2 linked regions of the Drosophila melanogaster genome follow. The protein of the gene in region 1 interacts with the protein of each later gene in a pairwise test. Each region holds a gene or a part of one and is shown in the gene's direction. Other genes may lie near its edges. The genes, in order: Srg3 and CG15546.

Evidence for each region.
Region 2: the proteins of Srg3 (region 1) and CG15546 interact in a two-hybrid assay, tested with the Drosophila melanogaster proteins (one large-scale study listed by BioGRID).

The regions. Positions count from the first base shown.
Region 1 is NT_037436.4:9,441,282-9,447,200, forward strand, and holds Srg3 (Sting-regulated gene 3), read left to right. Parts: upstream 1-1,950; 5' UTR 1,951-2,049; coding exon 2,050-2,083; intron 2,084-4,420; coding exon 4,421-5,004; 3' UTR 5,005-5,107; downstream 5,108-5,919. Other genes in the region: Bet3 (blocked early in transport 3), read right to left, coding at 843-881; Nf-YA (nuclear factor Y-box A), read right to left, coding at 1-611; CG3529 (uncharacterized protein), read left to right, coding at 5,715-5,781.
Region 2 is NT_033777.3:30,873,563-30,878,055, reverse strand, and holds CG15546 (uncharacterized protein), read left to right. Parts: upstream 1-1,869; 5' UTR 1,870-1,921; coding exon 1,922-3,154; 3' UTR 3,155-3,691; downstream 3,692-4,493.

The DNA.
Region 1 (5,919 bases):
GCCATCGCTGTCTGCGGCACCATTATAATCTGTTGCCCAGCTGTGGGTGCCGCCTGATTAGCGCTCGGTGCTGGATTGATCTGCACCAGCTGCCCATTGATATTGAGGTAGTGCGGCGTCGGCTGGGCTGCCATGGCAGCTGCGGCGTTGGCCGCTGCATTCGGATCCAAGGCGGCAATGGTGGGCGTCTGATAGAATATAGTCTGGCCATCGGGCAGCTGCATCACCTGCATCTGTGGCTGCTGCTGCGCAGCCTGCAGCATAATCTGGTTGGCCTGCAGCGGTATCAATTGTGGCTGCAGACCCGTCGCCGTCGCCTGACCCTGTGGCTGCTGGCCAATTATGATTTGCGCCGCTCCGGTGGGCAGCATGGGCATTGGTATCACTTGGATGGGTTGTGCCGTTGCTGCGGCATTTGTGGCTCCTCCGGCTGCAGTGCTAACACTTAAATTGTTGCCGGTTGTTGCGTTGTTGTTGCTGCTGCTATTGCTGTTGTTATTGTTGTTGCCGGCGGCGGCGGCGGCGCTGGCGGCAGCACCGACGGCAGAGGCGGTGGTGCACATTCTGGGCGTGGCTGAGGGGCGACTGGTGGCGCTGAAATGGTTTTCCATTGCCTGATTGCACGTCGGCTTGTGCCTGTCTGTGTGTCCGTGTCTCAACCTCAAGCCCCCAACACACACACTTACTGGAAAAGTGAATGAAGCCGATTTTGAGGGTGGATGGCACGTCAAAGATTCGTTCTTAGGCACTATGGCACAAATCTAACCTTACAACTAGATCTATGCCTCCAAATGACTAACGATACCGATCTTGCGCTGTTCTCTCTTCTTTGGCCAACTTACCACTTTCTTGGCGTCCAAACGAGAGGCTTGTCGTGACATTTTCCGGCTGTTTACGTTTGGATATTTAACAATTGAAAATAAAATTTTCTGTTTTTCCTAGTTTTACAGAGCAGGGTTGTCAGGGTACAATGCTGAAACACATCAAAATTGGCCAGGGCTGCAAGCGCTGTGCATATCGGTTGGCGTCACGGGAAAAGTGAAAGTATCGCTCAAAGTCGCAGTTATATTTAAAATTTTTGAAAAAGTATTGTAAGAGTCCAAAAAAATAATAAATGTGTGCAGCAGTTTAAAAAGAATGCACATATATTCAAAAACGTATTTTTTTTTGCTATATTAATATGTTATCAGTATAATAAATTTATTTAATAAATACATTAATTAATAAATTTGCGCTAACGTTATTTGGGAGTAAATTCCCAAGAATAAAAATGCAAAAATGTTTCAAAATGGCAGATCTAACTATCTATGTACTACTTATAGGGCTCAAGAAAGTAAAAAAATAATGCGATAGAATAATCGGCTCCCCAACATTTTGCACGCTAGACCTCCTCAAACCTTAACTCCTCAGACCTTAAGGACATTTCAGGAATATTTCATTAAATTAAAAAATCATTAAAAATTTTCCACTGTTTTTGAGATAATAACATAACAGTGGGAGGAGTTTAAGATCCGCCCTCTTTAGTACCAATACCACAACCAATCCATGTCATGAACCGCTTTATTAACAATAAGATTTCTGCAATAGATCTGCAACATTAAGATTTCAGTGGGAGGGACAGTGGGTGGGACAGTCGGCTATATTTAAATGCTGCAAAACTCCAATTTATCCCCGGCGATGACTCCTGTCCTTCTGTCCTTCCGGTGCTTTCGTCCTTCTGACGGGGTATCCAAAAATATAAAAAGAAATTAATGCTAGTTTAAAATTAAATGCTATTTGTAAAAATAATTAAAATATTGTGCCATATGTTAATGTTACCAGTCCATGTCACTCAAGAAAAGTACTTAACTTAAAATACTTATACTAAACGCTATGACCCAACCCCCATACTCACCACAGCAATGTTAGATTAAAAAATTTAATAAATTGTACTTATATATATTGCATGGCTGCAGAACATATATCATTCAGTCTCCGTACTTCCACCAGTGAAAATACCATAACATAAAATAACCAGTGAAAATAACTATAATAAATAACTCCACCGCAATGGGAAATATTTCCTCCAATATTAGGGCCATAGGTATGAAACCTATGGAACCTTTAATAATTTTAGTGAACTCTAGTTCTCCGTATTTTTTTCAATTTGTATCTTATTTTGGATAATGTTCGTTACATTTTAATAATAATAATATATTTAATTATAATGCCACGTAAATTGCGAGGTTTCTGATCCGAAAGATATAATTACAACACCAAAAAGTGTGGCAAGTGTACATACATACAGTTTGTCAAGAAACTGTTTACACACTGTAAAATAAGTTGAATTTTTGACTTTAAAGCTAAAAATAAAGGGTTTTTTGCTTAATTAAACGCAATTTTTTTATAAAATATAATTAAACAATATTTATTTTACTTATAAATCAAAAAACAAATTAAAAATATTAAATATACAAGAAAATAAACAACAAATTCCAAGTGTACACACTTTTGAGACTGTCAAGAAACTCTTTACACAAAACACTAAATCGAAGTTTAAACCTAAATTTTTTAATTATTTTATTAAAATTTTAAAAGTTTTGGTATGTAGTATGTTCCCCATTGGCTTTAGCTACAAGTTGAAGCCTTTTTTTCATGGATTGGACAAGTTTTTGCAGGTCATATTCAAACGGGATCTTTTCACACTCTTCGACTATTACAGTCATAAGCTGTTGTTGTGTTTTAGGTCCCTTTTTGCCACCTTCTTCTTTAAGTAGGTCCACAAATTTTCAATGGGGTTCAGATCAGGACTCTGAGGGGGCGTATCGATCACTTTACCACAGTTATAAGGGCGCCAGGTGCGTACATTGCACTCTTTATGTTTCTTATCATGTCCTGGTAAAACATAAAATTTGGCTTGTTGTTGCTAACTAGACCAAATTTTTCTGCACTGGCCTTCAAATTTTTTTTTTTAATTCCTAGATATTGCACGGCATTTATTGTGCTCTCAATTAAGGCTAGTTTTCCCACTCCACGGCTGGTGATACAGCCCCAAACCATCAGTGACATTTTTCCAAATTTTATTGTTGGAATGATATTTTGTTTTTCTAGCGCACTCAACGGTTTGCGCCATACTCTGCTTGGCCCGTCGTTATAAAAGAGCATCATATTTGTTTTGTCACAAAATATGACGTCATCCCAGTACTCTTCCGCATGATCCATCATGCTCATAGCGAATAAATGACGCTTTTCAATATTGGCATCTGATAGCAAAGGGTTTTTCCTTGCAACTCTTGAAGAGTACCTATGGCGTAGGATGACTTGGCGCACAGTTTCGTGTGACACAGTTAGGTGACATTCTTGCCTGATATCCAGAGCAAGTGATCTGACCGAGATTCGGGGGTTCGCAATCACTATTCGCATAATAAAGCGGTCTACACGCTTTTTAATTTTAATTTTCCGCCCACCACCACTCTTAGGTTCAAGCCTGCCCTCTTTTTCCGAGCCTTTTAAAACATTGTAGACGGTCTTACGGGATACAGGAAACATTTATACTAATTCTGGAAAAGATTTTCCCAACTGGTGGTTATAGTTTATTAATTGGGTAACTTCAAAAGTTAATCTCTTTCCAGGCATTTTATTAAATTTAATAATTCGCTTTAAGCACGTTTGATCAGCAAAATTTCACAAGCAAAGTCAACAAATTTCAATAGAAGCGTTGTAAAAAGCAATGTAAAGCCAAAAATAACGGAAAAATCGAGTTCGTTCTAAGAAAAAGAACAAAACAAAGTAGGAAAACAAAATGTGTAAAGAGTTTCTTGACAGTCTCAAAAGTGTGTAAACTTGGAATTTGTTGTTTATTTTCTTGTATATTTAATATTTTTAATTTGTTTTTTGATTTATAAGTAAAATAAATATTGTTTAATTATATTTTATAAAAAAATTGCGTTTAATTAAGCAAAAAACCCTTTATTTTTAGCTTTAAAGTCAAAAATTCAACTTATTTCACAGTGTGTAAACAGTTTCTTGACAAACTGTATGTGTCGCAAAGAATTCCGGGGAAAAACACGTTTCTTCTCAGTTTATACCCTACGTGCGAGGCATATGATTTGTCCTATCAGCCTGTTGGAACCGCTAACTCATATATTCCTTAATCTAACCAAAAACAAATTTTGCGTCGTATTTGTGAATAATGCACCGATTGATTTGATTGATTGCTTTAAGAGCGGCAGAGAGCAAAGATTACAGATAATAGGATAATGACTATTATAGTCAGAACACAATATTCTGTAAGAATCATGCAACTTATAGTTAGATCTAAATGGGCTTAAGATTATGGGTCTTGGAACAGAGAAGTTTAGCCGACTAACCAAGTCGGGACTATCAAAATATAAGTCTCAAAGCCTCACTCACTAATATACCCTACGTTCTCTTCTTTCAGAGGACGAATCCTATGAACTGTCCTCGGAAATCTGGGCCGTCGACATGGAGATCACTGACAGCGAGACCGACGACGTGCCCGTCAGCAGGAGCGTTAGCGTCAGCGCGAACGTCAGCGGGAACGTCAGCGGGAACGTCAGCGGGAAAGTCAGCGGGAACGCTAGAGGAGCCTTCAGCGGGACCCTCAGCCAGACCGTCAGCGCTACCGTCAGCGGGACCGTCAGCGCGACCGTCATTGGATTGGTCATCAACGAGTTCGTTCCAATGCCATTCAGTGGGACTCTCAGCGGGATCCTCAGCGGAACCCTCAGCGGGACCGTCGAAGGGACCATCAGCCGGACCGTCGACGGGGCCGTCAGCACGACCGGCAGCGGAACCATCGAAGGGACCGTCAGCGGAACCGTCAAGGGGACCGTCCGTGGGGCTATCAACGGGACCATCAGCGGAACCATCAGTGGGACCGCCAGCGGTACCGTCAGAAGGACCGCTGACGGAAAGCTCATTTTTGAGACAGGTGCAAGGTTGAACAATCGAAAATTCATTATCCACGAAATCTGTGGAATGAATTGTGAAATAACTCTTTGAAATTACAAAGTTTTTGAGATACATAACACGCTCTGTGAACAACCATGACTATGAGGTACCCGTTACTCAGCTAGTCGGATTGCGAATAAAATGAGAAAAAATTAAAATTGTTTAAAGATGTGGGTGTGATTACAATCCAAAAGGTGCAAGGTGCAAGGTGAACAATAAAACTAAGAACAATCTAATGTGGGCGTTGGAGTGGTCATGGAAACATGGGTCAACAATCTTGGGCTGCGTCTATGTCTCTGGAATCTGCACGCTTAATCTAAACATTCTAGCTTAAATAGTTCCTGAGATCTCGACGTTCAAACGTACAGACAGGCGGACATCGCCAGATCGACTCGGCTACTGATCCTGATCAAGAATATATATACTTTATATGGTCTGCCTGTTACATACTTTTCAACGAATCTAATAAACCCTTTTACTCTACGAGTAACGGGTATAACTATGTCATTATCTCAAAAACTGTGGATAATTCTTTTAAATAAAATGAAATAAAATGCTGCAGCCCTGGAAAAAAACCTATTCCTATTTACCCACTTATTGTAATGCATTTCTTTGTGGGTATTTTTCGCTGAGGCCAGCCATGGTCACTCTGCTGTAGACAAGTGCATAAACATTTCATCCAGGTGAACAAAAAGTAAATAAAGAACAATTTTAACCGCACTGCAACCCAACGGCGAGCATTAATAAGAAACTTCTCCACGATGGCTTCATTTTTCAACGTTGGCGCCTTGGGAAATGTTTTCTCCACTCCAGTTGGCCAGCGCATAGGTGAGTAAACCACCCTCCCCCCTCCAGCGTAAAAAAAACACCCACCGGAAGCGGGGGTGTGTGTATATGTGGTTAAAGCGTAATATTTTCCACAAATACAACGCATATGCGTTGATATTTACGCATTTACATTGATAG
Region 2 (4,493 bases), on another chromosome or scaffold:
ATTTCCGCATTCTGTATTCTGTTACCCTTCCGTTTACCCCTTTTCCCTGCAAATCCAGGTGTCGGTGCCGGTGTCGCACATCATTGCCAATTCGCCGACGGCCGCCACGTATATGCAGGCCCAGCTGAGCGAGCACGCCAGCAACATGCAGCACGGCATGCCCATTGTCACGTACAATGGGAACCAGTACTGCGTGATTACCCGTGCCCCGGATCTGGATGTGGAGGCGATGCAGAAGCCGCTGGACTATGGCCACGCAGCCGGAGGAGCCACCAACATAATAGTAATGTCGCCGATGCAACTGCTGCCCCCCCAGCAGCAGCAGCAGCAGCCGCAACAGCAACAGCAGCAGCAGTAAGCACCATCGAAGAGAAAGGCTAACTGACTGGCCAATCAGCTATAAATACGAATTGTAAATAAAGTCTTAAGCAGCCGAGAGCAACCCTAAGTATATGTTTAACAACACTACCCAGCAAAACTAAAAACTAAAAACAAAGAAAAAAACAAAGTTTGTAAATGTCAGGTTATAAAGCATAGATCCCCGTGTCAGCGATGTCAACTCAAAATCAAACGTAGTCTAAGCAACCTAACATATCCCCCCGCAGAACGTATATGGTACCCATCTACATGAGCAGCCACCACACTGAGATATATAGATATGCCACTTCGCCGTTTCGCAATTTCAGACCCTCCAGAGTAGTATCCCCACATAGACCCGTATGCAAACCGAACGTGTATGATATTGTATGTGTTTCTATGGCATTGTTTGTACATTAAGCTTATTACGTACTCCAAATACGTCTTCGACTAAAACGCAGCCTGGGAGGTAAACCAAATAAAATGAATTAATGGAAGCAAAACATAAGTAGCAGTAGTAGTGTCCATCAGCAAAGCTCCCCACACATCTCCCCACTCCATTCCAATGGCAAACCATGTAAAGATCAAGAGAAAATAAATTTAATTTAATTAAATAAACACTGGTATGTTTTACTGGTGTTTCGCTTTTCCTTTTCAAAGTGCATTGTTCACGACATTGTGTCAGAGTATTGAGCTCCTCTCAACTTTCAGCCATGTAATGTTACGTATACGCAGTGTCGGCCATACTGAGCATCATTCAAGTGACACTCACTTGCGGCCAAAAGTACGTTGAAGTTGAAGCCATTAAAGCACCCAATAATTGGCATCTGTTGTCGTTTATTATTCTTGGTCGGCCAACTTTGGCGGCATTCTGGCTTTTTAGTCCGAACGGACAGGCCAAAAGCGAAGTAAAAACCAAAACATTTGGTCAACGCTGAGCTCACGAAAATCAACTTTTCGTTCCAAAAGTGAAAAATGCCGCGATTTGGTTTGACCTTAGATGGAAACTCGTCTCTGCCGCTGCGCCGTCGACTTCGCTGCCAACGTCCACGCTGCACTGGCAGCAAATAAATTTTTGCCTCGATGCTGTTTGTGTTTGTTGTTAATAAGTCACTCGAAGAATTTGCAAAAGGGTATAATGTATTTTCAAAAATCTTGCGAGAGGCTAAAAACCAAAACCAACAAGTGTGTCATTTTCCAAACTGCCTGCAGTGAATGCAGCGCACTGTTTGCTTTCGAAGAAATCGAATATGGAAATATAATTAAATGCTGTATATTTCCAATTCGTAGAGTATCCAAAAGTTTATAAACACAGAAACTCTCGTTTTTACTCACTTCTCGAGTTATTTTTCGCAAGAATCGCAAATTAGTCTGGGGCCTGGTTGATCACCTGAGCAAACGAAACTGAACGCCTACGACAAATGACAACGCCGATGGCGACGCCAACATCTCAGCCATTTTATGTGCTCTCCGGCCTCCGACGGATTCTTTTTGTGTCAGTCGGTTTGCGGACCAGTCTCCGATCAGTCGAGTGGACCACCAATCCGGCGAAGATTGGGCGACCATGCTGAACGGAAAATTCTACACGGGCTTGCCGCCCAAAATGGTGGAGCGCCAGGCGGTGAAGGTGTGCAATCGCCAGGAGTCGCACTTCTTCTGGCCAGACGATTCCCGAGCGGATTCCGCGGTGGAAACCCGAGCAAAGAGGAGAAACAGCCAGCAGCTGGAGAGGCCTGTGGAAAGGATTACTTCCAATCAGAATGTATCCGACGAAGTGGACACACGGCGAATGTTTCACAAGGAGTTTGCCAGTTCTTCCATACAGTTCTATGATAATCTGCAGTCTAATCCTGGAAATAAACCTTCATTGGCAAGGGGTCTACGCAGAGAAATAACCCCAAAACTAACCGAAGTGAGACCGCAGGAATCGGATAACAAAGCTGAGGACACCAGCAGCCGTCGCCAGCAGGCTTACAGCTCCAAGATCCAGTTCTACGATTATGTAAACGAAGCAGATAACCTAACTCAAAATAACGCCAGGAGACCACAAATGGACTTGAATGACAAGCGCGAAGTGGAACTGAATTCCAAGAACAGTCCCAAGCTGCAGGTCAAAAGAAATGTGCGCAGTTTCAGCGTGGAACTGGAGCCCAAGGTCACCAAGAAACCCCTGAACGACAGTCCCGAGTGGCGGCGGCCACGCCCACTGCCCCTGCCCAAAAGGATACTGAAGCAAACGTCACAGGATCAGGACCCGTACGACCATCTGGAAAGTCGAGTCCGAAGATTGCAACTAACCCGAAGTCCCGGACTGCCCAAAAAGCATGTGACCTACAACGAGGAGGCTGCCGAGTACGCCTACTACGATGATCGGGTGGATCGCGATGATCGGGAGGATCGCGAGGATCGTGAGGAGCCCACCTACGAAACTCGCTACCGTCAGCAGCCAAATATGCCGACAGGAAGTCGCCAGCAGCAGCAGCAGCAGCAACATCAACGCTCTTTTATGGAAACTAGTCGGAGCAAGCCATTAAATAATAATAATAATTATCAGGCCAACGGCAATGGTAGGAAAATCTTTCCAAAAATGCCACAGACCCAATCCGGAGTGGGTAACACACACACTATCGACGAAGATCCCCCCGTGCCCTCTGACCCTCGCAAACACCTGCGCAGCAGCCTCTGCTTCAGCGGCGACGCTTTGATGGTGGGCGGTACGGCGTCGCAGTCGCCGCCCACTGCGCAGGCGCGTCGCAGCTCAGCGGGGCAGAGAGTGAGCGTGGGTCTGCCGGACTGAGGGCTCCAGTTCGCGTGTTCAGTGATTAGTGCAGCTACACAGTGAGAAATGCAAGTGCAAAAACATATAACTGAAGCGATGAAGAAGATCATACAAGAATATCTGCTTGACAATCATTAGGATGAAATAGTATTACAAATATTTCTCTATGTAGTAAGTCGACAGCAACAATCTGCATTGCTAATTGAAAGCCAACAGCGACTGCAACAGAAGCAGCAACAACATCTGCAGCACAACAGCCACATCAGCAGCAAGTTGATGCGACAGCAGCAGCTCAACCTTTTTTTAGTTTTTACTTTTACGATCCCATACAAACTCTGAATTCACCCACATGCGAATGAATGAGTCGGCTTTTTTGTTGTTTTCGAGCGGTTGAATATACATACATAAACAAACCTTGATCTTGACTAATTTGTCGGCGATGCTGTTGTTGTGCACCACGATCATGTATTAATTTAGCTTTTAAAGCCAACGCAGAAAAATCTATAATTATAATGATAGAGATATGCTAATAAACTAATACATATATAACCAAATAAATTTCGAATCGGGAAATATTCAATTAAGCCTTAAAAACCTACTATAGGCACAGAAAAATATACATGGGCACTTAATCAATTCGTTTGGTATTCAGTTTTCAAACTAATAATGAAAGAGAGTGAAGTTCAAGTTGTTATATATTTATATCGAGGTAATCGAAAGCAGGCGCACATTGAACTTGGAAAGGCTTGCCATGAATACAACGCAGCTATTCATTGTGTGCATTGTGTGAATAGAAACTTATTCATACCTCAAGCTCACTGATGGGCCTGTAATCTGTTTGGCAATATTATGAATCGATCTAGTATGTAATTCATAGACCGTAATGTAATTCGAGGCACCCTTTCGCGCGGCTTTTCTTTATCGACTCATTTGAAATTCCCAACAATTTGCTAGTCTGGCAATCAAGTCCGTTGCTCTGGGCAGCTCACCTGGCCAGCCCATTTTGGGGCTGGGGCTGGGGCATTCGCAGGTCCCTGCCCCTAGCTCCTTTCACAAAACTTTCAGAAAGAAAGAGCCATTGAGGTGGCATTGTTAGGAGCCAGCGGAAATCCAACCAAGCTTGCAGTCAAGTTGAAGTCCAAGTGCCAGTTTAAATCGCGACTGGTGGGGTTTCCGAGCGGTTTCACAAGGAAACGGGGCATTATGCGGCGTTGCAACCAATTGTCACGCGTGTTGAACTTGAGCTTGACCTTGTCTTGGAACGGGGTGTGGAATCCAACCACCCATTGTCCAGCCAGCAAATTGCAACAAGTGCGGCAATTATCCAACATATGCCACGGGGCTGCAATCAAGGCGG